4 linked regions of the Rhinolophus ferrumequinum genome follow. The protein of the gene in region 2 interacts with the protein of the main gene of each other region in a pairwise test. Links are inferred from orthologs where the notes say so. Each region holds a gene or a part of one and is shown on either strand. Other genes may lie near its edges.

Region 1 (7,531 bases), on a different chromosome or scaffold from region 2:
AAAATGTAATCACATTATTTTTAACAAAAGAAACAGGAAAATAATCCAGTTAAATACAAATAGAAAAAAACCCTCATCTAACAGTGAGAATTGGTTAAGTACAATAGAATATCAGACAGTTATATGAGTGCATACTTACAAGGTAAACAATGACAGGAATTTAATAATATAAAATTTTTTAACTAAAAATAAGTTTTATTATGGAAAATTTCAAACATACAGAAAAGTAGAAAGAAAAATAAAATGAGCACCTCAAATACCCATCACCTCGATCCAGTAATTAGCATGTTGCCATATTTATATCATTGTGTTGGTGTGTTGGTGTATGTGTTTGCAGAACCATTTCACAGTAACCATGATATATCTTTAATGGCAAGAATCAGGATATATTCATTCACTCAATTAAAATATATTTATTGAACATCTTACCATGTGACAAGCTAGGTGCTAGGGACACTGAAGTGTGTGTGTGTTGAATGTGGTAACGTGGGTAGGGAAGGAATGGGGTTCTTATATCCTGCAGAGCTACCTAGGACGGTCCCCCAGAGGGGATACTGCTCCCTCTGCCCTCCCCCACTGCCACTGAAGTGAGGTGACAGATACACTCTGTGCCGACAGCACCAGCGGTGGGGGCAGGGATCATGAGGGTCCGACCCTGCCGTAAATCCAGGGGCATTGCTACTTTCTTGCTGTGAACCAGGCAAGGTACTGCAACTCTCTTGGCCTCGGTCTCCTTTTCTGTAAAATGGGAATGATAATATCAACCTTGCAAGGTTGAAGGGAGGATTTGAATGAGAGTGTATGCAAAACACATAGTACAGCATAAAAGTGATTCAGTAAGTGGTAGCTGTCAACATCGTCACTCAGCTCCCAAAGGAAAACCAGTGTCCCCACCCTTTTCACCAAGGATAGCAAGACGCCCAGGCCAGCATGATTATCTTTAGGACAAGGGTAGGAGAGTGGGATTGCTGCAGAACAGCGGTAGGAGGCAGATGGCAGAATTCCGCAAAAAGGGGGGGAAGAAGGACTGGCGTGTCCGTTCTCCAGCCCCGTTTCATGGGCAGAGAATGTGCCCCTCACAGCATGCTGGGCACTAATCTCACTCGGTTCCCACAGTCCTTGCAAGGCAGTTCTGACTATGCTCCTTGTACAAATGAGGACACGGGCTCAGAAAGCCAACTGCACTTGTCTGACGTCACACAGCTAAGAGGTGGACATCAAACTGAAGTCTGACTGCAGTCAAACCCTGCGCGTTTCCTGGAGGGCCCCACGACGCTGCTGAGCCATTTCATGCTATTCCCAGTAAAAAGGATGAAATACGCAGAGGCTATTGCAGAGAGGAGTATTAGGAGTTGCAGAGAGAAAAAGGGGTGGGGGGCAGGGAACGTGTCGCCTCCCTACTCTCAGGCCTGGTTTTGGAAGACACGAGGCTCTTCTGCCTCTGCTTTCTGGGAAGCCGGAAACTACGCATGGTGACATCAGGCTCATGACCCTCTTTACAAATCCTCTTGATCCAAGATCTTCTGGGGTCCACCTAAAACCTCCCGAAGACCCCAGAGACTGTCATCAAAAGAAACGTCCTTGGTCTCAAGAACACAGAAGACAGAAGTCACCCAGCACTAGGGGAGGTCTGGCGTTATGGTTAGAAACAGAACAAACAGGCAAGTCGATACAGCCAGAAGACATCCAGTCCCCTGCGAGGTGGCTGCAGGGGGCAGATACTTAACCATCATGCAAGCAGGACCAGAGCCCCGTCCCAGGCGGGCCAGACACACCAAACAGCTCCGCTCAGCCCATCGCCCCGCCCACTGCCATCAGCAGAATAAACAGATTCCGTCCACACTGCCAATTAATAGTTACTGACATATTTGGAATGCTCTATCAAAAAAAAAAAAAAAAATCAAACCATCCTTGTTCCCTTCTAATCCCTCTTCCAGCCTGGTGACCACATTCCCATTGAGAAGACCAGAGGCCTGGGTAACTTCTGCAATATTTTCTCAGCAGCAGAGCAGTGCTCAGTGGCTGGAATTAAACATACCAACTAGGGGGTTTTGTTCAATACCAGTTACACCCAGATCGAAGGACAGAAAAGTACGAAGAGAGAAAAACGGAGGAGTGGGGTCAAAAAGAACAGCGGTCTGAGAGCTGGAAGCAGGCCTCCCCACCCCAACACACACCCATACACACACAATACTTGGGGCAAAGCTCACGTCCAAATACGTTTATTGAACATCTTACTTGTTTCCACAAGTAACAGAATATATTGATCATTCAAAGCAGCACTAAGTTAATTTGACTTTAATTTGATCAGAAGCACTTTAAATTGTCTCTTGAACCCAGAAAGAAACACTTTCAACTATGCCAAAACGGAGTGCAACTGTGAGGCAAAAAGACTCAGAAAAAGAGGTTAAAAATCAGGGATCAAGTTATGGCAGAACAAGTTTATCGAAACCAGCTGTCATCCTGTTCCCTCCCGAAAGTGCATACATTTGAAACGATCGCAGTCTTGAAGCACCTGATCCGGCAGCAGGGCATCCTGGACAGACCCTGCCTTCCCTACAGGAAAGGGCTCCTGGCAGGCTCCGCACTGGAAGCCTAGCTCTCAGCAGTGAGCGACCTGCCACAGCACACATCAGCTGCAGTAAAACCACCCAGATGCAAACGCCCCAGGCAATGACTCTCCCCTGTCCACCCCTTAATCCTCTGCTGTGCATTCAAATCCTGACAATTTCCCTAATTGCCCCTAATCCCTACGCAGGCCTCTCCTCAGCTGTGGGCTGTGCCAGGCTGATGTGCTGTGACCCACGGGACACAGTGGTGCAGGGCCACACACTGGAGAACGGACCATGCCTTACCTGGCCTCTTCCCCTGGGCAGAACTCACATGAGTCGGGTCGCTGGGGCAGCCACGCTTTACCACTGCACTGCACAGATTCCTGTCCAAGGTCCGGCCGAGAAAGAAGAAAGGAAAGGAGAGACAGGGAGGCCACTGAGCCCAGGGTCTGACTGAAAAAGTTAAAGGGCGTTTGATTTTGCTCGCAGATGTTGCAACTTGCCTTCCGCTGGGCAGCCAGCTTCACTGGGTCAGGCAGATCTGTTGTTTTAATCCGCCCAGCTGGGGTGACCTTTGAAACCCCTGGCTGCCAGCTGCGGAGGCTCTCAATGGAGTCCCGGGGAAACCAGGGGTGGAAGCTTACGGGTTTCTACAGCGTTGCAGATTCCAATCTGAGTGTGGAGTAAAGGGAGGACGCTGTCAAGGAGAGTGCTGAGACTTTGGAGGGGCTGGGCACACCCCCACATCTGGCCTGGAACCCCAACTTACCCCTTGGCACATCCGGCCTAGGATTACCACCCAGGGCTCGTGGGATATTTGTCTCCAGCGACCACGCTTTTTCCTCCTTAAACTGAGCAAGCCCCATTTATGATCCCTGAACGGGAGGCAAGCCCAGAGAGCAGATGGAAGGGGGAACTCCAGGCTGCAATTGTTTTTCAGGGAATCTGGGCTGAGGTCTGAACCAGTCCTACAGACTGTGTTCCCGTCATGCACAGGATCCAAAGGCCCTGGTCCCGACCCCTGGGGAGCTCCCGGAACAGTCCCTGGGGCATACCTCTAAAAGGCGGTGGCAAGGTGACGCCCAGCCCAGCACCTTTCCTCCAGGGGACACAAGGATGTCCACAGTTCCAGTGGACTCTCTCATCCTGTGCAACGCTCACCTTGGCACAGGGCACACCTCGAGCACCGTTGCTTTAGCCTGTGTCCCTCCTCTCCCTGTCACACCATCCGCTCTCACTTCTGTCCTCCTTCAGATATACATGGACAGAGAAAAGTGGTTTTCTAGGAGTAGTGGTATGCAGCTTTGAGGGACAGGTAGGGCAGTGGGTGAATCAATACATAATTTGATTCCATGTTTTCTTCTAAAGGGAATGGTTGGACAAATGTGGACCAGAGAGCTTTGAAGCCTGAGACGGACACTGATGAAGAGAACACCTTTAAGTCAATTAAATCCTTGGCCAAAACATAATATACACCCCAGATTCTGGAAGACCTTGCAGGTGGTACATATTCTGAATATTTCAATGGCGAATAACAGAAGAAATAAATCCAAAAAAATCAATGGTGTTCATCACTAGGAATGGAGACGAATAGAATGTAAGTCTTCCTAGACGGTGGTCCCTGGTAGTGGGCAACAGGACTGGAAAGTCATGTGAGATCGGAAGGAACTGAGGACAATCATTTGGACAAAATCTCGGAAGGTGCATTTATCAAACCTGTGGGTTACACTAAGCAAGTAGGAATAGCTAATACGTTGGATGCTAAATTCCCCCCTGAAAGATCAGCAAAAGGGACCAGAGCCTGAGAGGATGTTTAAAAGAACAATTTTAGAATGCCTATACTTTAGCTCAAAAACAAAAACTACACAACTGCCCAAGTACAAGACGGCTGACTGGAAACACTCATCAGGGACTCCTGGCCCCGTGGGAGTTAGGCCACGGCCCTTGCTAGGAGCACACAGCGAATCCCTCCTGTGGTGTTTGTCCCACACATCCCAGCTGGCAGCCACGGAGCTGTGTGGTTGGTTATAGGATCAACTTTTGTTTTCCCCACTGGAACGCACGCCCCGCAGGTTACAGGTCCTATGTGTTTCGCTCACTACTATATCCCCAATGCCTCAAATACTGAGGAGCACATAGTAAGTCCTCAAAAGATAATCTGTGGAATATATGAATGAATAGACCTTTGGGCTAAAAAAAAAATCACTTCCAAACTATGATGCCACTTAATTTTGTTGGCTAGGGAATCTCATGAACGTTAGAGAGAGGACGTAGGGAAAGCAGTAGGGGAACAAGTCACAGTAATAAAATATCTACCCCTCTGGGGCCCATGGGGATTTGGTTGTAGACACATGGTGCCAGTCTAGCTCGAAACCTGCCATGTAACTCATGCATTCTTTCTACTCTTTACTTCTCAGTCTTCCCGTGTGTGAAACGGGCATAATGGTGCTCTGCCCTGAGTACCCTCTCTGGTTTCCTTCTGGCAACTCTATCCAGGTCCCTGGGTTCCCACGTAAAATCATGCAAAGCCAGCCCGCTCTGTCCCCACAGCTGAGTTCTTGCCTCAGCACCCGGCAGCCTCTCCCTCCCCATGGCTTCCTGGGCCTTTCCTCTTGGAAAGCACATGAAAGGAGGGGCCGGGCTTCTGCAGGCAGATGAGCTGCCCCGTCAGCACAGCAGCAGACCGCGGGTGGGAGGAGGACGTCTGCTCAGCAACACAATCCAGAGTGCCCACATCTTTGGCAGAAAGTTATTTTTAAATTTTCTCAAAAGGGGACACACACACACACACACACACACACACACACACACACAGATCGAATCAAACCGCACACACAGTGTGAACGAGTGCGGCCTGGTCTCCTGAAGCTGCTCTCTTCCTGTTGGGATTCTTGCTTAATTTGGGATGTAATGAGAACAGGCTGAGAGAAGCTTCCTGCAATAAAAGTCACAGGCAAAAAGAAATCAAAGCCAGAAACCCCGATGATAACTAAATTAGCAAAATGCACGTTCGTATCACAGTCTAGCAACAATCCTGAAGTTCGCTCATTTTATTATCAGGTATCATCCGTGCAGATGGAAGTTTGGGGTCACACGTGTGTTTATCCACAGCCCCTTCTCCACCACCAGGTCTCCTCCCTCCAGTCTGCTAAGCCATACCAAAGAAACCCCACGAGACGAGGAGGTAGGGGCAGCCCCACCACCTCACTTCGCAGGAGCCTGGGAAATCAGCGCAGCCACGGGAACAGTACTCGTGGCTCACACCCCCACGATGCCCCGCAGCGGGGTACAGACCGCTCTGCAGTCAGACACTGCATTTCTTCACCGCTAACCATGTGGCCTGAGGGAAGCGACAATCTCTGAAAGCCTTAGCTTACTCATCTGTCAAATGGGGCTAGTATCATCCCACCTCCTGCCCATCTGCAGGGTTGCTATGAGGGCCAGCAGGGTGAATGAAAAGCCTGAGCCCACTCACTGGCACAGAAGAAGCGCTCAATACACGTGGCTATTATTGTTCACACTGCTGTTGTGTTACGATTTCTGTCAGCTCGGAGGATAGAGGCAGCCTTGGCCGAGGAGGGGCCGGCACGGGAGAAATCAGGAGGCAGCACCAGAGGGGAAAACAGTACAGAAGACTCAGCGACTCCAGTGCTTACTATGGCTGCACCCCAAACCGGCTGTGTGACCTGAAGGAAGTCCCTTCCCTTCTCTAGTCTTTCCCACATGGTCTGAAGGGCCTCTCCGGACCCTTCCTGCCCTCGCGCACCTGTGTCTCCAGGACTGCTGCCAGCTCTCCTTAGCACACCTGGGCAGGTAGGAAAGGTCCCAGCAGAAGGAGCCACGCCCAGAGCAGGAATGAGATGCTGCAAGACACCAGGTAGGAGGCAAAGCCCTCCTTACCACAGACTGCTGTTTTGGGCCCACCATGCAAGGCTTCAAGGCCTGAGAGCCAAACCCGGCAGGCGCACCTGGTCCTCACGGAACACCTGCAGGATACCAGCACAGGCCAGGACGATCCTGAAGCCTAGGACAGTGCTAGTAACAGGCACCTACCTATGCAGTTATTTCAGCTGCTCAGCCTCTGGCCAGCTGCCAGGTCTGTCTAGAAAGGGGCTGGGGCTGAAAGAGCTGAGGAGAAACCCTAGGGGGGAAAAAGGAGAAAAAGACACAACCAGTAATAGTTACTGTTTTGTGAGCACTTACTGTGTGCCAGGCATTGGAGTAAGTACTTAAGATGTACTTAGCAGAGCGACAAACATCAATAGCAAAATTAATGGAGCGTATCATTCAGTAAATGGAATATATTCCTTTTCTTTCTATTACTTCATTCTTCCTCTCCCTCCCCGAATTCAGCCCACATTTAGTCATTTGAGTTATTTAGAAACATGAGTCTCGAGTAGGGGGCAGCAGGCAGGAAGGCTAGCGGGTGGGTTGGGGCAGCCCACAGGGTATGGTGCTACTGATGTTGGAGTGTCAGAGGGCTGAGGAAAGATCTAGAAAGGGGAGGGAGAGGAAGTAAAGAGAAGGGTCACCAGTGTGCCCCGCCCCTCTTCTAGTCTTTGGAGAAACCTAGGACAGTTCTGAACAAGCAGGACTAGGGAGGAAGTGAACCTCGCGCTCTGCGGATCACACCCTGCCCTGAAGGGGGCTCTGAACAGCTTCTCTAGCTTGAGACTGGAATGTCCCATCCCTTCTTGAGTCCCCTGAAGCACACACTGCCCCTCGGTTTTTTGGGAAAGCTGGCCCTATGTTGATGAATTGAAGCAACAGGCCCAGAGGACCTGGTGCTGGGAGGCCCCTTCAAGTCTGAGAAAGCGGATGCAGGTGAACTGTGAGCAAAGCTCTCGCAGGCCTGGCTGCTCAGCGTGGCCCCTGCTCCTCTCCATGTGATTTAGGGAAGATGACGCCAGCTTCCCATGGCCTGTTTCTCCCGGGAAAACATTAGCTCTGTGCTGGAATAACACCTGGATGATTGGAGG
Region 2 (7,074 bases):
TTCTGAAATTCGTTGCCCTCCCCATTCTCTTACAAACATCCCTCTCCCCAAATATAACTTATGGCAAGAAGCAGTCATAGATGTCATTTATATTTAATTTTTAAATGTAACCTATGATTTTTTTTTTTTTGGCAGCAACATTGTTTTCCTAACTACGACATTAATATTAAACATGGTGCTACCTAAAGACACGATGACTGGGTAGAAGAAGGGGCAGTCTGGAAGAGCACTCAAGACCAATTGAAATGTAAGTTATCCATAATTGGAGATATCTGAGACTTTATTACAAAAATATTTTATTATGGTAATGTGGTTTAAGGTATTAATCACTAAAACCAGTGAACTTTAAACTTTGGTGCACGTTTGTTATACATCAAACCGTAAGTGGCCTCAAACAGTATGCCTTCATGTCCAAATCTTTCGAACAACAGAATTCAATCCACTTACTAAGAAATACAATAGGGCAAGAAAGCATGGACATGTGTTTCTGAGATTTCAAAACCTCAGAAGATTGATAACATTATACAGAGCAACCTCTGAAATTTTGCAAATGATATAACAGCAGATCTACTTTGAAAAGGCACTACTGACAATGAAGCTCTCCTCAGCAATACACAACTAATTTCATAAACACTGTAGAAACTACTAAATGTAGAAGGTTAACCCCACAAAGAGATGAGCAACTGTAACTGAAAAAACATACGAACAAAAAAATCATGTTTAGCCTCTTCCCCTCCCATTTTCTAAGACATTTATATCAAGGGTTTCAAGCATGTTAAAAAAATGTATGCTCACATTATGATAGGCTAGCATTTCTTATTTCGAGAAATAACGCTACTTCCTAAGTCAGGACATGGAGTCAGAATACGTAATTATAATTTCTGGAAAAAAGAACATGAATAATTTATTATAGCTCTGAATCCTCATGTAAAATATTAAAGATGAAAGAAATTAAGCACCACCTCCTACTCAGAGAACTATCCTTTTCCCAAAATTAGATTTTACATCTTACATCAAAATATCACTGTTAAAGTTTCCTTAGTCATTTAAAACATGAATTAGATATTGTTTCATTTTTTAAAAGCTATTTATCCTTAGTAGATACTTTCCGTTGTAAATGATATGAAAGTTCTCATGTGGCAAAACCTACTCTTGCTCTGTTATTTAAAACTAGAGTACTATTAATAAAAATCATCAAATGCAATTTCATTACCTGGAAAAATAACTATCTTCTAGAAACTATCACTAATCAAGAAATCAAGAGACATTTTTATATATCTAGAAGAAAAAGTGATTGGCTTCATATTAGCACTTCCATTCCAACCTTTTCAAAACAGATGGAAAAAAATTAACAGTCCTTTCATTGGAGAAGTCACAAAATTTCTGATATGCAATTCTATACTAATCAAAAATTATACCAACTTTTTCATGACTAACAGGAAACAGAAAGAATGCTAATGGCTATGCAAGGAGAGGATGCATATCTGATATTTATATTGATATGAATCCAATGGGCATTCTCTTATTAAAACTGGTAAGTAGCAATGATGATTTCTTAGGAAACCTAATGTTCAAAGAGCTTTGCACATCATTGATTATCTTATTTTTATGTACTTTAAAATGAAAGACCCATTCTTACACTTAAAATAACCTAGTTAGAAAAAGCTCTTTATGCAATGTTAACCTATGATGATTTCTAAATATTGTAATAATACGCTAATTTAATTTTCTGCACAATGTGGTAGATTTTTTGTTTTTGTTTTTTGTACCCACCACCACTCCACCCACAACCACAACCAAGATTAGAGACTAAAGCAAATGATCATCGTTCACACACTCTCAAAAATAAATCCTGACTTTTGGAAATATAGTCAAGTACAAACAAAATCTCAATGTTAGAAGTCATTTGAATGATTGTAGGGAGCTCTGGTGGTGTCGCCTGTAATTTAAGGACTGTAAACCGAGAAGGACATTGATACTATTGTGTTTATCCCTCTAAATTTTCCTCAGCGCTTTTATCAAATTCCCCTAAATAGTTCATGCATGCAGGGAATAGTATGTCTGTGTGCAACAACAGACGTTCATCTGAAATGGTTAAAAATAATCAGGACAGTATCTGTCTGGATATACAAACCTAGTTTATCAATGTGAAAGTATATCTAAAAACCCAAATGTTAAAAGATGGGCGAAGGTATTCCTATGACAGAATCTTTGAGCTTAAATCTTAGCTTAATGTAATATGTAGGTTGGTGCAATTCGTTCCTGTTGCCTCCTCCTAGATATAGAAGGAAGGTGGATGGCAGGACCCAGGGAGACCTAACGTCGATCTACACCCCCTTTCCACTCCAACCTCACCTCCCTCTTTTCCTTCACACAGACACAGACGCACTCTCCCTGACATTTGAAAGCCCAGGTGCCCCAGGGGGCACTTTTCTAGGGTCGTTTCACTGACGCGATCTGATGACTGCAGTTGAATGCCGCCCCGTCCAGCGCCCAAAGCTCACCTCTAGCTTGTGGTTGATTTGGGACACAGTTTGGGCTTTGTGGCAAAGCTGCGCAAAGCAGGAGCTCAGGCTGGTCATCTTCTGTCGCCCCTCATAAGTGATGTCCGCCTGGTCCGGATCGATCTCGCCTAGAAGCAGATCCACATCCACGAAGGCCTTGTCGAACTCCTTCTCCAGCACCTCCAGCCACCGAAACATGGATACCCCACCGGGGGAGACGCCCACGGCGCAAGATGCGCTCCCTGGGGCCCCTCCGGCTCCTGCCGGGCACGGGCCGCCCGCCGACATGGCGCCGTCTAGGGCCACTGCCGACTACTGCTGACCCCCACCGCCCACCCCGCGCTACAGGAACTGCTGGGACTGTGAGGATCCCCGTGCACGCACGCTCCTTCCGTCCCGTCCCTTCCCCTCGCGCGGCTAACGTTGGCAATGCAGCCCCGAAGTGGCAGGAGCAGCCACCCTGAAGAAGAGACGGTGGCACACGGAAGAATCCAGCAGCCCCACCACCCGGTCAGCCCCGACTGCGCATGCGCAGCCAAGACCTAGGCGGGAGCAGCCGGAGGGACGTAGTGGGCGGGGCTAAGATGCGACCTTGGCCTATGAAAAGCCTCTGCAGGGGACCGGCCCGTCAGCGGCCATATTGACAACTGGCAAACTCCCTCTTGAATGCGGGAGAAACGGAGGGGCATGGTGTCCCCTCCAATTTGGAAAGGCCAGAGGAAGAGAAGGATGTCCATGTGTCGCCCAGAGGAACGACTTCCGCCTGTTTGACTTCACAGTGGGTGGGAGCCATTCTAAAGTCCGGGAAAGTTGTGGCGGTGACGCCCTGTAGGCGGGGAAGGGAGAGTGAGGATGGGCGTGTGAGCCTGCGCAAAGGCCACGTTTTACCTTGAACATCCCAGTTCCTGGTTAGGGTGGGGTGGGTGGACACACTGGCTCATCTTGGTAAACCAGGCCCTAAATTCACAGTGGACTCTGCACATTGAAGGACTGTGGTTGACCAGGTTTTGCTGAATTAATAGTTTTGTCTTGTGATTAAGAGTCAGGCAAGCTTGGATTCAAGTCTTAAACCCTGTAACATATCAGCTGTGCCATCTTAGTTGTATTCTCTTGAATACAATCTTGAAGCCTCAGTTGCCAAAATTCACTCCGTAATGTAAAATGCTTAGCTTCAGTGCTTGGCATTTGGTATTCTTTATTATTACACTACAGGTCATTTCCAGAAACTACTTAAAACGGTGTGTTTATTTCAAAAACTGGTACAGTGTTCCCACACATGACATTTCAGAAAAACAAAATTATGACGATCTATATATTCATAAATATATTGAATGCAGAGCCCTGCTGAGGCATTGGGGATACAAAATGGAATAATACGTAACACTCAAGCAGAGCTCAGAGGCCAGTGAGTCTAATCCTCAAAGCTACAACTTTAATTTGAATTTTGCAGTACCTTTGAGAGTGTTTAGCAACTGCTCTTTGCTATTCTGCGTACTCACTTTCAACCCCCTTCCACCTCAAGAGTAGCCCAGTCTTGGAAAACGAAGGAAAAACCAATCTGAATAGTGTAGGTTGATAGGAACTGCCTCTCCATTGCCTAGGGGGAAATTTTACTGGCAGGCTACAGACTCTTCTGTGATCTGTTCATGGGACAGACTCTTCCAGTTCATTACCACCAAAGCCTGCACTGTGTACCCCTTGCCAACACAATGCCAATGAAGAATAAGAAATCATAGCTTTAGTTTGCTCTCTGGGTACTGTATGGCAGACTGGATAGCATCGGTCAATAAAGTCCTTTGGCTTGGTTCAGCAAACTTAGCTAAGCAAAACTAACCATGAGATCCTTTCCTTGAGCTGAAATAGGCACCTTCATATAGGTTTTAACACACAAGAAATAACATAAAATTTGTGTCTTGCTCCATTACCTTCCCAATTAACTTTATTTTCATCTGCAGTACTTGCAAGAACATCATTACTATAGCTACCAAGTTCCCAGCCACCTTCTCTTGTTAAACTAAAAAATTTTAACTTCCATGGCTGAAGGTCTTTCTTTAAGTAGTGTTTCATTGACCCAAACATGCTAGCCAAAAGACTGGTCTTGGAGCATGGAGTCTGAACCACCAGCAAGCAGCATGGCTAGGTAGAAAAGACAACATGTCTGTCGTCCCAGAGTTTTGCAAGTGTTTTTATACATCAAATATGGGAGAGGGGGAAGAAGGAGATAGTCTGAAAGAATTTACATGAGCTGTAGGCAAAAAGTTGGGGAAAGGTGAAGTCCCGGGGGCAAGTTTTGAGATAGCAGAGTCCACATGAAGAAATGTCTGCTAGGACACCAGTCTAGAAAGCTCACATATGAGCAAGAGGAGGCTCCTGGAGTTAGGTGGTGGCTGGCTAAAATAATCTGCAGAAATAACCACCTGGAAATTAATCTGAAATTCCAACAGGCAAAACAGGGATGTGAGAAATCTTTTTGTTAACTGGTCAGCAGCCATTAGCAGACTAGCAATACTGTCACTTTCTCTTACTTTCCAGTCGCTGTAAATTAATTTGGACCTTCGCAGAAATTTTTTCTTATAACTTTATGCATAATATAGTTAACAATGTATTTTTCAGGAATTTGGAGCAAATAATTTAAAATGAGGTGGGGCACATAACCTGGAATCACAATAATAGCTTTCCATTATGCAGTGCATACTATGTGTTAAACAAGTGCTATTTGTTTACTTCTTTGACTCTCACAAAATCCTGTGAGGTAGCTATTGTCACTTTTTTATAGATGAGTCACAGAGAACTTAAGTATCTTGTTAAAGTAATACAGCTAAAAGCCGACTGAGGTGAGATTCCACTCTAGGTATCTTTTCTTCTAAACTCTTGAAAGTTAAACACGGGTTATAGAAGGATGAGGGAATCTATTTCTTGTATAAGTTACCAGTATTATAAATTGGCAAATCAGTCAAAAAGGTTTTTCGAAACAATTTCTTCCCAGTTGTAGCCATATGCGAATCTATTAAAAAATATATCAATCAACTTCCTGCTATATTGTATGGGTAGTACTGAAATGTATTTTAAGTGTTTATATGTTTCCAGTGCTCTGATCCTTGGTGAATACCCCCATTTTCAGGATTGTGGAATCCAATTAGCTTCTGTTTCCAATCTTTTCATCTTCAACAAGTCACATCCTGTGTCTCAGAATACTTTCATCTCATATTGTCCCTTCTCATTACCATACTATGTAGCAACTACCACATTCCTATATACTTGCTATCTTGGTGCTATGTGACTAATTCAAATACGAGGTGCCCTCTATAGACATTTTTTACCCACCTTGATTGGGGTTTTGCATTTCTGCAAGTTAAATTTAACATGCCTGTGAAAAGCAGGGTTTGATGTTCAACTGCTGCCATCTGTTGGCTGTGCGCTCTACCTACATTTTTTATTTTGACCTACTTTGGAATTGGGAATTGTATTAATCTCAATACTTATGGGATTTATTTTCCTAGAGGTAAAATCTTTATACTTATATTTGCCATTGCATTGGCAGAACCTTCAATAACTGTTTCAGGAATCATGCTTACATGATTAAAAATTTCTAGCATAACTTAAATGTGACAGTCTTGTTTTAGGAACTTACCTAACAGTTTCACCACAAGGTATTGCTAGGAATAAATAGGGTGGGGACTGAGGAAACTGAAGAAGAAAGATGCTAAAGATTTCTTTGGTAGGTACTGGTAATTAGCTGTGAGATTAGACTTCAAATATTTCTTAGAGCATCATTAAGTCCCTGTAGCGAATGGACATAGAAGTTCTACTTTGGACTGGAAAGGGGGACTACCATTTAATGAACTCTACTGTATACCAGGCCCTATATTAAGCTTCACAAGTATCATTTACTCTCCAATGTCCCTACCAGGAAAAGGAAAAGCTATTAAGTAAGTGCTATTGGTCACAATAAATTGTTTTATATATTAGAAGAAACCCAAGGAAAACCCATTAACATTTTGCTTAAGATATGTGGGAAAAATTCTGGAATATATCATATTCATATGTATTATTTATGTCATATTTATTCATATTTACTAACAATTTGAAATTTTGTGATAGACATACTAATGAAGTACGTGTGGGCATTCCACAGTGATTTAGTGGCCTCATTCTCCTGATCATTTATATGAGATCTGACAATTAAGTTCGCGAACTTGTGGCAATGATGTTACTAACCTTTTTTGATATCAGAGGGATTATTCACTATGAATTTGTACCAACTGGACAAATAGTTAACCAAGTTTACTACTTGGAAGTGCTGAAAAGGCTGTGTGAAAAAGTTAGACGCCCTGAACTTTTCGCCAACAGTTGATGGCTCTTGCATCACGACAATGCACCAGCTCACACGGCACTGTCTGTGAGGGAGTTTTTAGCCAGTAAACAAATAACTATATTGGAACACCCTCCCTACTCATCTGATCTGGCGCCCCATGACTTCTTTCTTTACCCCAAGATAAAGGAAATACTGAAAGGAAGACATTTTGATGACATTCAGGACATCAAGGGTAACACGATGACAGCTCTGATG
Region 3 (7,311 bases), on a different chromosome or scaffold from region 2:
AAGCAAGACTCAGAGAGGAAGTGACCAACGCAGACTCCGGCTGCCTAACAATATTAATAATAAAACAATATTTTTTGAGGGCTTATTAAGTGCCAGGCATTGTCCTTAATGCTCTACTTGTATAATCACATTTAATCCTCACAGCAACCCTATAATCATTCTCATTATTCAAGCGAGGCTAATTAAGGCGGAGAGAATTATGTAGTTTATCTAAGGTTCAAGGTTATACAGCTAGCAAGTAGAGGTGCTTGTTAATAACCCAGCTAGTTTGGTTCTAGATCCACACACTCAATTGTGAAACACTGCGGTCTCTCAGATAAGCGGAGTACGTATCACCAAACACATTCGTACATGTAAACTTTCACAGTTTACTGCTCCTGCGGCATGATTTTGTGTTTAATAACAAGGTCACTCATATACAGCGTACATCAAGCTGGCTGGACGGCGTTGCCAAACTTGTCAATTTCAGAGTTGAAGTAGTTAGTTATCTGCTCACTAATAAACAAGCCCTATCAAATAGGGAGTCTCGCTATGATCAGAGAGCAATTTAGTTTTACCTTTATTTTTTTGAAATATTTGTAATGAAATATGTCACACCAGGGTCTATCAAAGCAAACGTTAGCACTGACATAGAGTTTTATAAGTTTACATTTTGAGTAGCTCGAGAAAGAAAAAAGAAGAAAACAGGGGGAGGGGTGGGTTGGGAGAGAGAGAAATCAAAACCGAGACTTCCTTATCCACTGTTAGCCACAAAGTAAACCAGGTTCTCTTAGGAAGAGGCCTTTTACTTAACATGCTGCCAGCCAGACTTCCGTGCTGGTGCAGCTATCGTTGCAATTATATCCAGAAAGAATAATCACTGTCTTCAATATTACATTTACTCAGTTTTATACTCTGCTTGTTTTTCTTCTCTTTCAGATTATCAACCTCTTGCACATCAGATGATCAAACTACTTTGTCCATTTCCAGAGCTCAGCTTCCCTATTTATCCAAGGAGGAGGATGAAGCATGCCTGTGTCTGTTTTGACATCATGTTTCCTGAAGCTACCCTTCCTGTGACACAAAAACCTGTCCAAGCTTTAAAAAAATGAGGCAGCAATTGAAATTCTCAGAAGCTCTAGGACCTACCTGGGAGACACCAAAACCCTACCAGTCCACTAAGAGAGGAATTCCAAGCAGTGCAAATATTATCTTCCCTCTGGTCTGCACTTTTGGCAGGAAGGATTTGTATAAGTCTGTTTTGCCATTCTATCCAGTACCCTCACCAAATCCCTTTAGAGACAAAGCTGTCCCTCCTCTGCCCCCCACATGAACTGGCAAGGGTGCATTTGAAACCAACGCAGCTTCTTGCAAAACAAATCTGCAGTCTCTCTTCTTCAGAAAGGTGGCAGTGTTGCCTGCGGTTTTGACCAAATTACAAAGCAGTGGCATGTTTCCCCGGGATTAACAGACCAACCCACCTCACCTCGCCATGGGAAGGAAAGGAAGGAGGTAACCACAGCCAAACCCAGTGGCTGGCAGACTCACCCTGGAGCGTCAGGGCACTGAGTCTTGTGGCCCCCTAAGCTCTCAAGTTTTCATCTCCTTTCAATAGTACAGAGCCGAAGACAATCTCCAACAAACTCCACAGACACCTAAAGGCCAGGAGCATCTAAGGAAGTCACAGAACCCTGATTTTTTAGCATCCACTCTTGTCATTGTTGAAACACCCCTCCTCAGTAAAACAGAGTGGTCCCATTTAGAAGGGCTCAGGAAAACTTAGCCAACTACATTAGCATCCTTCTCACACCTGTTACGCGGAATGTTCACATCCGAGTTCTCATACAGTAATTCATCTTCGAAATAGGAGTGCTGCCACTTATTGAGTGGTTTGTTACCGCTTTTATAAAACCAGTATTATACACACAGCTATGGAGAAAGAACTTAAGGAGCCCCACACATTCAGACGTTCCATGGGCGCCTACACATTCCACCCTTCCTGAGTTCCCAGCTCCCTTCCACTCACCTTCACTCAGCGTCCTTGGAGAAGTTTCTCTACGCGCTACTAACACAGAAATTTGGGGGGAAATTCTCCATTTATAAATATCAGATGGTTTGGGAAAAAAATATTTGTGGCACTGGACTTCTTTTTTTTTTTTCTACAGTGATGTCATTTTAAATACTTGGTGTGCTCCAAATTTGCTATTTTTACTTCCCCCGGGTGACTTTTTTGGGAAATAATATTTGTTTGGATTAGCTACATTTTAAGTGACCCCTGTAATCTAATACACAGCATAGGTTCTTCTTCTCAGCAATTATAACTAATATTATGCAGCTCACAAACTTGAAATCCCTTATTTGTTCATTTTCAAACTTGTTCCTTTTGGATGCACCCCTCCAAATTTTCTCTTCGCAGATACAGAAAAAACAAATAGAAGGAAAAGATTGGCCTCACCGAACAAAAAAACCACACTCATCAACCCACAATATTTAAAATGGAAAACATCAAAGGCCCCCAAAGTCAAATAAGATTTTCACTTCCAAATGTGCTTTTGGGGAACAAGGTTGAAGTCGCCACGGCCGGCCTTGAGACATTTATTGGAAAGCAGTCCAGAGTTGAGAAGTGCAGAAGAGGAAAGTTTAAGAAGGAATGCTAAATGCCTCAGCCCTACCTGATCTGAATTTGCTCCTAATCAGCAAAGAATGCTCAGCCCCCAGGAGGGTCATGTTGAGTCTCAGCGAGCCGCTGGTCCCTTGGCCAGACGCCCCCTGTTTTCCACCAGGAACAGGCTCCCGGGAGCCCAGCTGACCGCAGCTAACAAACCAGAATTCATCCAACTCTTCGTGAGCTCCCCTGGGTAGTACAGTGGCAGCCAGTGACCGAAACCAGTGTCCCCAGAAAACTGGCGGCTCCCCCCTCGCTGTGCGGGGCTGATTAACTCTTAGCCGGCAGGACCCTCCTCCTCCTGTGTCTGGCCAGGGGCAGCGGCATCCCAGGCGTTCTCGGCTGATGTCATAGGCTGCCAGCGATTGCGGAGTATCACCACCACGCCTTTATGAAGGTCCCAAGTTTGCTATCTGATACTTTTTTACTACTGACAGGAGCTCAGCCAATCAGCAGCAGCGAGCGGGGACCTGGCGCTTGGAGCAGCTGGAGGCGTCTCGGGAACCGGGTCTTAACTCTTTGCAGAGGGCTGAGCGGACGCGGAGGCGCAGCGGTGGGAGGCAGGGCCTGGGTCCCGCACCGGCGAGGGGCAGAGCTAAGGAGCCGGAAGGACAGAAAGGAGGGCTGCAAAGCCCCTGAGCTTGCACGTTGTGCAGGCGCGGCGGGCATGCGAGTCTCCCCGGGGTTGGGGCTGGGCCTGGGCGGTGGGAACCGCCCGGGCTTTTCCGCCTCCTGGCTGCAGCCTGGGAGGCGGGCGCGGCGGGAATCTCATACCCGGGAAGGGACGCGCGCGCCTTGAGAGACCAGATAAGCTGGACCCCTTTGCAGGTAAACACAGCTTCCAACAGACCAGAGTCCCCACATTCTCTCCCTGTTTGAGGGGCTCAGGGCACAGGCAGAGACTGTATATATCTCTCAGTTCCAATATCAGACTCGGATACACGTCTACGGAGAAAATAAAAAGCCTTTCATTTTTCTGGAATATGCGCTTTCTGGACAAGCATGACTCAGTGTGTCTGCAGATCCGGCCGGGACACAATGCTCTCCGTTCGGGGCAAGACACAGGAGTTGAACGACCTTCTGGGCTCTCAGTAAGGTGGGACTCGAGGAGGGAGGGGAGGGGTCTCTACAGCAGGGTGATGACAGAGCTGGGGTGGGGCTTAGCGTGGAAAGGCTCCAAGGCTTTTCCTGTGAGTGAGTGCTCCTATGAGTGAGTGCTTCTTAGGGAAAAATCCATTCCAAATCGAACACTGAGCTATTGTGCATCCAGGTGTTACAGGCTCATCGATAAATAAAATGAAGACCCTGCTCTCAAGAAGCTGCTTAATAGTTGGTGGCACAGAAAATAAAAACCAAAGTATATATGTACATATATATATACTTGGTTGGGTTGAATTTATCTGCAATCTTACACGCACATAGGCTTCCAGATATCATGTGTTACGCAAATGCCTGCTTACGTCTCAGGAGACCCTAAACCCTTCAAAGAGCAGTTGGTGACAGGTGAGGACCCGAGGGGACAACTTCTAATGCCCTGAGTTTGGGCCTCTGTCTGAATTCTCTGATTCTCGAGTTCACAGTTTGGATCTGCCCATCCATTTACATCAATAAGGTCTTCTGTGATGGGCCACGGTAATTCCTGATGTGTCAGAAAGGAGGCAGAGCAAGCCCACCCAGGCACCCCTTGGGAACAGTGGCCTAGTCATGGAGGCTGTGTACAGCCCGATGAGAGGTCACGAGCACCCCAGTGATCATGTAACATTCCCATATAGAGTATATTACTTTCTTCGTCCTGCCGTAAACAAGTGGCCTAAAAAAGCACACATTTATTCTCCTGCAGTTCTGGAAGTCAGAAGTCTGAAATGGGTCTCACTGGACTACAACCAAGGTGTTAGCAGGCTGCATTCCCTTCTGGAGGATCTAAGAAGAGCGTTGTTTCCTTGCCCTTTCCAGCTTCTAGAGGCCCTCCTCGTTCCGGGGCTCGTGGCCCTTTCCTCCATCTTCAAAGCCAGCAGCGGGGTGTCAGGTTCTTATCAGGTGGTATGGCTCTGACCTCTCCCTTTCTGCAGGACCCTTGTGATGACATTGGGTCCACCTGGATAAACCCTGGTGCAAGGTCAGCTGATCATCAACCGTAATCCCATCTGTTACCTTATTCACCTCCGCCATGTCATGTAGCATAGTCACAGATTCCCGGGATTAAAACGTGAACATGGAAAGAGGGGGCTCTATTCTGCCTGTGGCACAACATGAGCCCTCTTTCCACCAGCATGTTCTAGTCTTCAGTTGAGCTCCAGGCTCCTGGTCTTCAATGAAAACAGGTCAAGTGGAGGGAGGTTTGGAAATGGGGATACACAGGAGCCTGGAACCAACCTGGCAAGATTGCCGATGCCTGGGGCAGGGAGATACTCTTTGGAGAAGAGATTGGTGAGATAGGAAACATTGCTGAATTATCTGAGTAGAGAAAAAACTATTCTGAGTAACATTTAAAACAAAGGAAAGCCAAACAGATTTTTGTTCTGAGGGTTGCGGAGCTGAGAAGGCAACTTGGCGGAGAACAGTTTTTTCAGTGAAAGTTCTGATAAAAACAGCTGAAGCCAGCATTGAATGTAAGGGTCTGCATGACCTAGATGAGTTGGACAGGAGTAAATTGTTTTTCCTCTGTGGGCAGGGAAGGGGGGAGGAAAGAGAGAGAGAGAGAGAGAGAGAGAGAGAGAGAGAGAGAGAGAGAGAGGCTTCTTTTCTGAGTCCATTTGGGAAATGCTGGTAACCATAGCCCTCTTCAGTTTTCCCATTATGCTGTGGAGTTGCTGATGTCTGCCCTCTGGGATTTATACCCCCTATGGCATGGAATATCTCCGGATATAAATATGCTCATATAGAAGCTCATCCTTGCCCCTCTCCATGCGAGCATTTTTTTGTGTGTGTGAAAAAAAAACTTGGGGTGGAATTAGATGAGGGTGTCTCCAAGGGGAACAGCATAGCCTGCTGTGCTTTGGGAGCAGCAGACAGTCGCAGCAACAGCATGCCACCACCAGCTTCTGTCCTACAGTTTGATCACCCGGGCAGCACTTCTCTGCCTTGGTGCTCTGTGACCTGCTCTCCTGAGGCCTGCAGTGAGCCTGGGATGTGAGGTAGAGCAGACAGGGGAGCTTCTAGCACCAGGAGTAGCTTCACTTGAATCTAAGCTGCCTCTGTGACCAGGGATGAGTTATTTAAGTCCTGTGAGACCCTCAGCATTTTCACATAAAATGGAGTTAGAAATGCTTCCCAGAAGAATTGGAGAGTTTAAATGAGACAATACATTTGGAGGGCCCAGAACAATTCTTGCTGGCATGCGTTAGGCTCCTTCATTGACCCTCCCCCTACCGCCAACCATTCTTGCTGATTCCAAGCAATCCTGAAACCTCCCCTTTGTTATGGCTTGCCTTTCTTTTGCCCTCAGTTATCTCTGGCTGTGTAACAAATTACCAGCTTAACACAGCACACACATTTCTTATCACACTGTTTCCTGGGCCTGACTTAGCCGGTCCTTTGCTCAGGATCTCACAAGGCTACAATCAAGGTGTTGGTTGGGACTGTGGGCTCCTCCGAGGTCCAGCATCCTCTTCCAACCCCACGGGTTGTTGGTAGAATTCAGGTCCTTGCAGCTCTAGAACCCACCATGGCTTGCTTCTTCAAGGACAGCAGGAGAATCTCTCTCTGGGAATTCTTTTTTACAGGGCTCATTGGCTTAGTCAGACTCACCCAGGGTAGGCTCCCTTTTAATTAACTCAAAAGCATACTAATTTCCTAATTAGTATGATAATTAGGAATGAGACCTGCAAAATCTCTTTAATTCATTCATCTAACACAACTGAATCATGACAGTGTCACCTGTCACATTCGCCAGCCCTTCCTCTGCTGAAGGATTATATAAGGATTATATACAACTCATTGAGGTTCACTGTAGAGTTCTGCCTTCCACAGCTGTGGTCCCTGGCCGTTAGCCAACTGAGAGTGATTGTCCGTAGGCGCGAGTCCCTAGCACAGCTCAGGGTAGTGAGCTTGAACTCTGACCCCTTATGAACCTCCTTATGGGTCAGCATGAGATCAGCTACGGGTCACAGAGCAGGGGGTGGTGAGCAGAGAGACAGCTCGTGGGTATGGCCTCAGGACCTCCAGTTCTCCCCTTCTTAGCACAAGCCCTTTGCCTTACTCAAGGTCATTACTGTCTTCTTGGGTTTTGTCATCCTCTTGTCCTAAGTGTCTGTTCCTGGTATCACCCCGCTTGTCTGTTTTCTTGTTTTCTTACCCATGTCTGATGAGCACCTTCAGGGGACCATTTGTTCCTCTTTCATCCATTCATTGAAAATGTACATAGAGATCTTGGCAAGTCACTTTGGCAAGTGCCCTGGTGGACATACAGGATGAAGGCAGATTTGCAAACTCAAGCGATAGGACCAGGAATAAGAGAGAATGTGGTGGGGTGGGGGTATGTTGCAAACTGAGAGCACATGGCTTGTCCACGCGGGCCAACCGTGACTAGCTCTAGTTGACTATAGCCATTTGGGAGGGGCTACAGACACTTGTTGCCATTCCTTCCAGTTGTTCACACAAACTTGAAATCCAGGTAATAATGTTCAATGTATCAGTTTTTAAAAGGTGAGCAACTCTCTGTCATTTTA
Region 4 (7,808 bases), on a different chromosome or scaffold from region 2:
TGTATCATTTGAACCTAACGAATAGGTTGATCCGATTTGTATATATTACAATCTCCACGGGAAACAGAAATTATGATGACATATGGAAAGCCCTGGTTTTGTGAGTGGGCCCACATTTGGGTGACTCATTGGATCTGAGTTCTCTACTCTGTAGGGGTGGCATATAACCCCCACTCAGAGAATGGCTGTAAAGATTCCAGGTACCATATCTACAGACACACAAGCAATCCAGACAACCCAAGTGGTATCTCAGCACCTCCCATAGTTTCCTGTGTATATAACCACCGCCAACTGGGGCAGATTCAGGTCCTAATCCCAGCAACACCTCTCAGTAGCTGTGTGACCTTAGGTTAGGTTAGCAACCTAACTTCTCTGAGCCCCAGATTCCTCATCTGCAAACACAGAAGATCACCTATCTTATAGGGTTGTTTTGTGGAGAAAATAATATTTGCATGTGGCTCTCCCAAGCCTGATATGCAGAAAGAACTCAATAAATATTAGCTGGATTTGAATGTGCACAGAATAGCTCTGACATATACAAGTCCTGCTGAATAGGGCTCATGGTCCAAAAATGGTCATAGTGACAAGTAAAGGAGAAAAGGAAAGAGGGAGAGTGACAGAAATTAAAATTAGAGACAATTTTTTAAAATCACTCTCTTTTCAACCAATAATTTCAACCTGTTGTTTATCAACTGTACTGCTGAAAACTTGGTCTTATCTGATTGAACAAGTTCTGCCTCTTTACCCCTCCATTCCTTCTGATAGAAGGAGTGACAACTACAAGACACAACGAAAAGGGGCCCTGAAGAACTCACTGTACTGACTTGAATCAGTTTGGTGAAAGGGGGCAGCCTCAGGCACCTCTCACTGCCAACAGTTTATCTTCAGATGCTCCTCTAGCTTAATTGTTCAGAAACCAGAGGCCGTATCAAGGCTATCAAGGCACCCCTCCCCCCACAAGACATTTTTCAGAATCTAACCTGGTACCACAATTCTGAAACCCAAAACCAGAAGAGCCACAAAGGACAGCTCTCCTTTATTCAGCACCAACCTAGTATGTGTTAGACTCAGTGCTAAGCATCTGGCATATAATATCTGCACAGGAGAATAGTCTGAGTCTTTTAAGCCTCATTTTACAGGAAAGGAAACTACTACTGGACATCTCCTAAAGACATTCTCTAAGCCCCTCAGCTCCTCATATGTCCTCAAGGACTCAAGTCTGTATGACAGGTGGAAACTTCAGACCTAATCACAGGGCTGGATTCTGCAAAACTTCATCACACACAATCATCTTAGCCTCACAGTAAAAGTGGGTGTGGGAAGAGGGTTAAGCTGGGACAGAGAGAGAGAGAAGAGACATCTTCATCTTTTAGGAGCCACCTCTAACTTGCAAATAATGGTCAGAGGCTACCTGGAGGAGTATGCCATTTTCTTTCTGCACAATAACCTCTCCCAGAAAAAACCCAGACAAAAGTGACCTGGCATTTCCAGGGGAAAATGAAAAATAAAGCTCTTCTTCCAAGACTCACAGTGAATTCCTAACCCTTCCTGCCCCTCCCTGCTCCAGAGTGTGGCTAGATGGTTATTGTTTCTTTTCTTTTTTTTCCCTGTGGTCCCCTGGTAACACAAATTACGTTTTCAGGGACTGGAGTCCCAGAGTGCAGTGATGTTGTAATAAACATAACCAGGACCAAATGCCTTCCCATCATATTAGATGATGCCATTTTCCACCAATCAGGCTCCTCCGGCGGCAGACCAATCACCAATGAGGGACCAGACGGAGGCTGTGAGGGGGAGACCTGGTCATCTGCAACTAAAAATAAGGGCGCTTCACGATTGGCCGCTGCCACTTTGCAACAGGAGTTGGGACCCACACACCAAGCACCATACAGAAGGCACACACAGGCAAAAACTTTCACAGCCCGGGGGTTCATATGAGGTGGGCTAGTCTGGGGTTGTTGGGTCTTTTTCCTTTTCTTAATTTGCTGACTTGAAAAAAGACTTGATCCAGAGGGGCCCCTCGCAGGCACACCTTCCCTCCTAGACACCTCAGTTTCCAAAGGCCCTTCGCAGCCACCCTGAATCGAGAAAAGGAAAGGGGTGTAGGCCAGGGGCCAAGACACTCACCTGTCCGGCTGTGTCATAGAGTCCCAGGAGGTACTGCTTGCCCCCTACGGTGACGCTGACTGCAAGGGCAGAAGCGGGGGCAGAGAGAAAAGCTCACAATTACTCTGGAGCAATTTCGCTCCCCACCAGGACCCTCCTTTCCCAATCCAGCTGGAGGCAAGAGGGTGCTCGCAAAGAGATGTCATCCCTTTTCCCTTGCGCCCGACTCACTGTGAAGTGGCTTGAGGTTCGGGGTGCAATGGGGCCCCTAGCTGCTCACTCCCTTCTCCCAAGTCCCTTAGCCACGACTCTCTCGCCCAGTACCCCCAAATGTTTGGGGCAGTAGGGGAGGCGGTTGTGGGAAGGTCAAGGAGGTCGGCCCAGGACGCCAAAGGGGTTGGGAAGTGCGGGGAGCTGGATCTGGGCGCGGGGGTGGGGGTGGGGGATAGGAAGACGGGTCCGAGCTGCCGGCGAAGGGGATGGCTTAGAGGCAAAGCTTGGGGGTGGGGCCGGGCGCCTGGCAGAGGGCGCGGCGGGAGAGGGGTAAGGAGAGTGCCCAGGGGAGGCAGCGAGGGGGCTCCTCCAAAGTTGCTCTAAAGTTCCCGGCCCGGGGAGCGGCCCCTTAGTCAGCAGTTCCGACTCTTACCTGCGTAGTGGTCGAAGACGGTGGGCACGTACTCCTCCGGGAAGGCGTCGTTGGCATAGCTCATAAGTAGGCACGTCTTGCCCACCGCCCCGTCGCCGACCACCACACACTTGAGCATCAGCGCGCCGGGCCCGTGAGCCATGCTGCAGCCAGCCGGCCTCCGGGCATGGTCCCCCCGGAGCCCCCGCCCCGGCCCCCGGCTCAGCCCCAGCCCGCCTGGGGGGTCCGCCGCCGCCGCGGCTCCGCGCAGCAGGACCGCCCCCCCGGCCCCATACAGCGGCTCCCCCCGCTGGAGGGAAGGAGGCGGCGGGCCCGATGTGCTGCCGCCGCCTTGGTTGCTGCGCGGATCCCTGTCCGGGCCCCGGTCGCAGAGTCCGCCCGCTGCCCTCGCCGCTCGGCTCCCGCGCCCTCTCCCCAGTCCTGCCTCCCCAGGAGAATCCGCTGGATCATAAGACTGTCCGGCCCCGGGGGAGACCGCAACTTTAGGGAGGGCAGAGAGGGGAGGGGCCAGGCGGCTCTGCCCGCCCCGCGCCGCGCCGGCCCCGGCCCCCTCCCCGCAGGGCCCAGGAAGAGGGCGGGCCGAGGCACCTCCCCCAAATGCGGGCTCCTGCGCCCCGCGCCCTGCACCCCGCCCGCAGCAGCCACTCGGCCCTGCCGGCTCACCCTAGCTTGACTCCCCGCGAGGGCAGCGGAGAGGGGGCGTGGAGGAGGAGCCGAAGAGGAGGGAGGGGAGGTAGGTGAGGCTGGAGGAGGGAGTGGGGAGGGAAGCGCTTGGGAGGAGCCGAGGGTTCCTCTCGAAAGTGCCCGCAGCGCCCGGAAGCGTCCAAAGGCCCGGTTGCTGGGAGAAGACGTGGAGGCCTCATGGGGGACCCACGACGACTCCAATGACGCAATACTCATGCAAAATTGTACATATAGATTTAAACTCCACCCGGTAGGCAAGATCCATCCCATCGGCCTCTAAATGCACAACTGCTCTAGAAATAGGAAAGGAAGAAAAGACAAGAAGATTAAAAAAAATTTTTTTGAAGGCGCGCGGGGTGATGGGAGAGGAGTGGTGGTGGTCCCTGACTTGGAAAGTAGGTACTCTTCGATTATTGCTTGGGCCCCCTTCCCACCATCACCCATGCCGTTCACAGCAGAGGCTTGAATCATTTACTATGAAACTGGTGACTAAGGAAATTACAGCATCTTGAATCACTGAAGCATCCGCAACCAGCCAGAAAAGGGAGACACTGCTGGCTCTGAATGCGACAAATGTACCTGTATTCCCCTGGAGGCGACATTCTCTGAAGCCCCCTTGCAGTGTCCCTGGAAGGTGTTGTTAGGTTGTGATCCTTGAGGAGTGATACACTCTTGTGCTCTAACACTTGGCCTGTGATCCAGGTGGCAACCCCTTCCTGGGCAAAGCTTGGAAACACTTGGCTGGCCAGATCCAGTTCACTGGCCAACAGTACTGCTTTGAACATTAGGCACTAGGGGAGTGAGGTAGGGGAGAGTGAGTACACCTCCCTCCTCTCCCCCTCCCCCCCCACAGCTGACCTGAGATAAATCACTTCCTATCATCGATTCACAGGATTAGAAAATGCTGCCTTGAGAAGCAGCACACAGGTCAACTGGATCATCTTCCTTAGATCTCCCTTACGTTGTAGGTAAGCAAACAGACCTAGAGAGCTGAAGTGGTTATCCCAAAGGCTTCCCTAACTCCAGCATTTAAGGACTTGGAGCACACTTTGCGAAATACTCACTGCTATATCCCCACGCCCCACTTCTTCAGTCCTCAACTCTCAAACCGGAAATCTGATTTCTGTTGTCGCAGGAAGATTTCCTGGATGATTGGAAGTTCCCTGTGGAGTCCCAGGCCACATCTCACCCGACCCCTCCATGTGCATCTGAGTGTGGGCATTTGCAATGCCTGCTGCCTTAGATTAAGCAAGGAATCCGAAAGATAACTTTGTATGTACTGAAGGACAGGTTAAGAAAGGCAGCTTTGAAGTCAGGTCTTGGTTTAAGACCAGTTTCTGCTGCTGCTTAGAGGGGAAGAAAGGAGGACTGGCTCCCTTTGCCTGCAATACCATTTTTCAGGCAATTGCTGGGATCACTATTCTGAAAGGAGGGTCTATCAGAAGAGGTTAAGGGGCTACTGGAGTACACTCAGCCAGGAGAGTGCATTTTGTCCCATCTCTGATGCTAGTTAACAGTGTTACCTTAAGCATGCCACTTCTCTAGGCCACGGCTTTCTCATCTATAAATGTGATTTCATCCATAAGAGTAAGATCAGGTCTCAGCCTTGAAACTCTAGGGCCCTCTGGAATGTGTTCTGAGAACTCCCAGTAATAGCCTTGGAACAAGAGGAGAAGCAGTTGATGGAGACATGGGGAAGGCCTTTATAAGGGATGAGGAGGTCTGCCCCAGGCCTGGAGGATGGAGGCTTCCTGGAGACTTCCTATTCAGGGCTCCAGCCTCCCAGTTCTTACTCTAGTCCTCAGAGGGGCAGACATTTACTAGGGATCCAGAGAGCTGGAGGATCAGCTCCAGAACCTTGAAAAATATCAGGGACCCCAGGTCCTGGATGCTCTGGGAGAAGCTCTGGGAATATCAGAGCACCCCACGTGAGGAACTGATGTCAGATGAATCATGCAGTGGTGACTTCATTGGTGAGAGTGATCTCATTCCTTTGGCCCGTAGAAAAGCCAAAACTGATTGCCAGTAATGCTTAGCGCTCTGGGCTGATTCCACCAGTGTGTGTGTGAAGTGGAAGGGGAGAATTATCCTGGATGACCCAGGTGGGCCCATGAATGGGTTAGCTGGAAAGACCAAACAGATCTTCACATAAATCTCACCTTCCTATGTGCAAAGAAGACAGTGTCTCAAGTGGATTAAAAAAGTCCTCAAATTTCAGGGATTGGGGAACAGAAAGCAACTGTTTCTAAGCCTCCTATAGGCTCTGTGCTCAATTTCCTTCCTTTGTGTCAAATGCAAATGTCAAAACACATTGATCGGTCTGTGTGAGGACAGTGAAACCTCTCCTTAGCCTTCTCTTTTTCCTGTAGTTCCTACCCTTCGTTGAGTATTTCATTTCACAAGCATTTATTGGGGTCTGCTAGATGCCAGGCTTTATGCCTGGGCAGGGGACAAAGAGCTGGAAAGCCACAGTCGCTGGAGGGAGAGGTGGAAAGGAACTGATGAGCAGATAATTACTGTATAATGTGATCAGTGGTGTGGTAGAGGATAAAGGACAGGCTTTTGGAAGTGAAGGGGAGGCTGTTAGTACCTGGCTGGCTCTGGATGTGCTCAGGAAGGATTTGCACAAGGGGGTGTCGTTGGGCTGGGGTTTAAGAGGCTAATAGGAGTAAGAGAAGAGTGCCTGGGAAACACAGCCCCAGACCACAGCAAGAAGGAACAAGCACGCAACCTCTTGGGAATGATGAGCCATCTAGGGTGGACAGAGTGCAGGATCAGTGGTGCAGAGGAACTGGTTTGTGTTTAACTGGGAACTGAAATGCAGCCAGTCCTTGGGCGTCTGAAAGCTTTGTTAAGGAGCGTGCAGGAACCCTCCTGGTCTGTGCAGTCTGAGCACCGTACAAAGGTAAAGGGAGAAATCTGGCCCACTTGACATCCATCCACAAAGCCATAACCCTGGCTCAAGGCTGTGTTCATTGGAAGAAGGAGCATTCTTTTCTTATCACAGATATGACTTCTGGTTTGTCAAACCTGTGCCCATAGGGCTGCGTCCACCCAGAGAGGGGCACCGTTTTCTACTTAGCAGAAGACAAAGGCACTATCTAGGTAAACAGTGGCTCTGGGAATGAGAATGTGATGAAGGGAGGAAAGGAGAACTTGCAGGACATCTGCTGTGTACTTGGCTGTATGCTATGCCCAGGCACTGTCCTGAGTATTTGATGCTCGCTTTTATAGGGCATCTTGTTTCACCTCCAAAGCAACATGCAAGATAAAGTTTGTAGAGAGTATTTGTTTGTCTGTCCAGAACAGCACCATTTGCTTCTGCTAAATATTCTTTCTAATTTAGTCTCTGTGATCATGTGGTTTAAATGGAAGGCGCCATCTTCTTATACAGCCTGCCCCCGACCCCTGTTGAGGAGCCCTGGGGTAGGTAGCTGATCTAAGATGGGGCAGTCTGAGCCATCCTTGAAAGGTTTGAATTTAAGATTCAAAACAGGAGTCTCCCCTCTTTTACTTACTGAACTGGAAGATGTGAGCCTGGAAACTGTTGGCCTTTCATGTTTCATGTTTCAGCCATTCATAAAAAAGCCCATCCAAGAAAATGAAGCTAAAATGCAGAGAGAATAAAAAATGGAGAGATAAAGCCCCCTTCTAACCAGCTCCAAAGATAGATACAGGCCATTTGTGAGTTCCTACTTCTGGGTATTCCCAAGACCCTGCTGCGCTACTGTTCTGCAGTTGGTCACTTGAGTTAATAAGTCCCCCCTTCTCTTTTTGCCTAGTGAGTATGGGTTAGTTTTCTGTCACTGGTAACCAAAGAAATCCTGACCATTATAGTATTATCACTGGAGTTCAGATAGGTGACGTGCAGAGAGATTAAGAAATTTTCCCAGTCCCACAGCTGTTAAGTGGCAGGGCTAGTTTTCAAAATGATCTGTCTTCAAAGCTCATGTTATTTCCCATTTTCCGTATCAAGGAAGCATCAAAAGTGTTTCAGTAAGAAAATGACAAGTTTAGAGTTGTCATTTGAGAAGAAAATGTATAGAGAATTTTGTCACTCTGGGAGTGGTGTAGAAAATGGATTTTGAGGGGATGAAAGTGAAGGCAGAGAGAGTGAAGAAGAGAAAAATCATGAGGGTCTGAACAAGCATGGTTCAGAAAAAGGAAGAGGCGGCCGTGGGTACCAGGGATATTTAGATATCAGAATCTTCAGGGCTTGATAACACAGCAGGAGAAGACCTAGGATAACTCGAAGGCTTCTATGTTTTGATTCCATCAATTTTCTCTCCCTCTCTCTTTTCCTTTTTAATCTCCTCTGTGTTTACCCTTTCTACTTCTTCTTTGGGCTTCTTCCTCAGTTTTTAAATCTTTC

What was found.
Region 1: the proteins of GOPC (region 2) and MYLK interact in binary tests that used the Homo sapiens proteins (3 or more experiments, as listed by UniProt). The two-hybrid records come from large-scale screens. The link is inferred for Rhinolophus ferrumequinum from reciprocal best matches to the Homo sapiens genes GOPC and MYLK.
Region 3: the proteins of GOPC (region 2) and MYOCD interact in binary tests that used the Homo sapiens proteins (3 or more experiments, as listed by UniProt). The two-hybrid records come from large-scale screens. The link is inferred for Rhinolophus ferrumequinum from reciprocal best matches to the Homo sapiens genes GOPC and MYOCD.
Region 4: the proteins of GOPC (region 2) and RHOQ interact in a two-hybrid assay, tested with the Homo sapiens proteins (2 studies listed by BioGRID). The link is inferred for Rhinolophus ferrumequinum from reciprocal best matches to the Homo sapiens genes GOPC and RHOQ.

The regions. Positions count from the first base shown.
Region 1 is NC_046285.1:48,354,279-48,361,809, forward strand, and holds the start of MYLK (myosin light chain kinase, smooth muscle), read right to left. Parts: upstream 3,017-7,531; 5' UTR 2,856-3,016; intron 1-2,855. UniProt on the Homo sapiens protein: Calcium/calmodulin-dependent myosin light chain kinase implicated in smooth muscle contraction via phosphorylation of myosin light chains (MLC). Also regulates actin-myosin interaction through a non-kinase activity.
Region 2 is NC_046286.1:68,269,931-68,277,004, forward strand, and holds the start of GOPC (Golgi-associated PDZ and coiled-coil motif-containing protein), read right to left. Parts: upstream 3,014-7,074; 5' UTR 2,793-3,013; coding exon 2,505-2,792; intron 1-2,504.
Region 3 is NC_046304.1:7,061,281-7,068,591, forward strand, and holds the start of MYOCD (myocardin), read right to left. Parts: upstream 3,001-7,311; 5' UTR 2,707-3,000; coding exon 2,652-2,706; intron 1-2,651. UniProt on the Homo sapiens protein: Smooth muscle cells (SM) and cardiac muscle cells-specific transcriptional factor which uses the canonical single or multiple CArG boxes DNA sequence. Acts as a cofactor of serum response factor (SRF) with the potential to modulate SRF-target genes.
Region 4 is NC_046296.1:39,054,038-39,061,845, forward strand, and holds the start of RHOQ (rho-related GTP-binding protein RhoQ), read right to left. Parts: upstream 3,015-7,808; 5' UTR 2,895-3,014; coding exon 2,753-2,894; intron 2,187-2,752; coding exon 2,128-2,186; intron 1-2,127. UniProt on the Homo sapiens protein: Plasma membrane-associated small GTPase which cycles between an active GTP-bound and an inactive GDP-bound state. In active state binds to a variety of effector proteins to regulate cellular responses. Involved in epithelial cell polarization processes.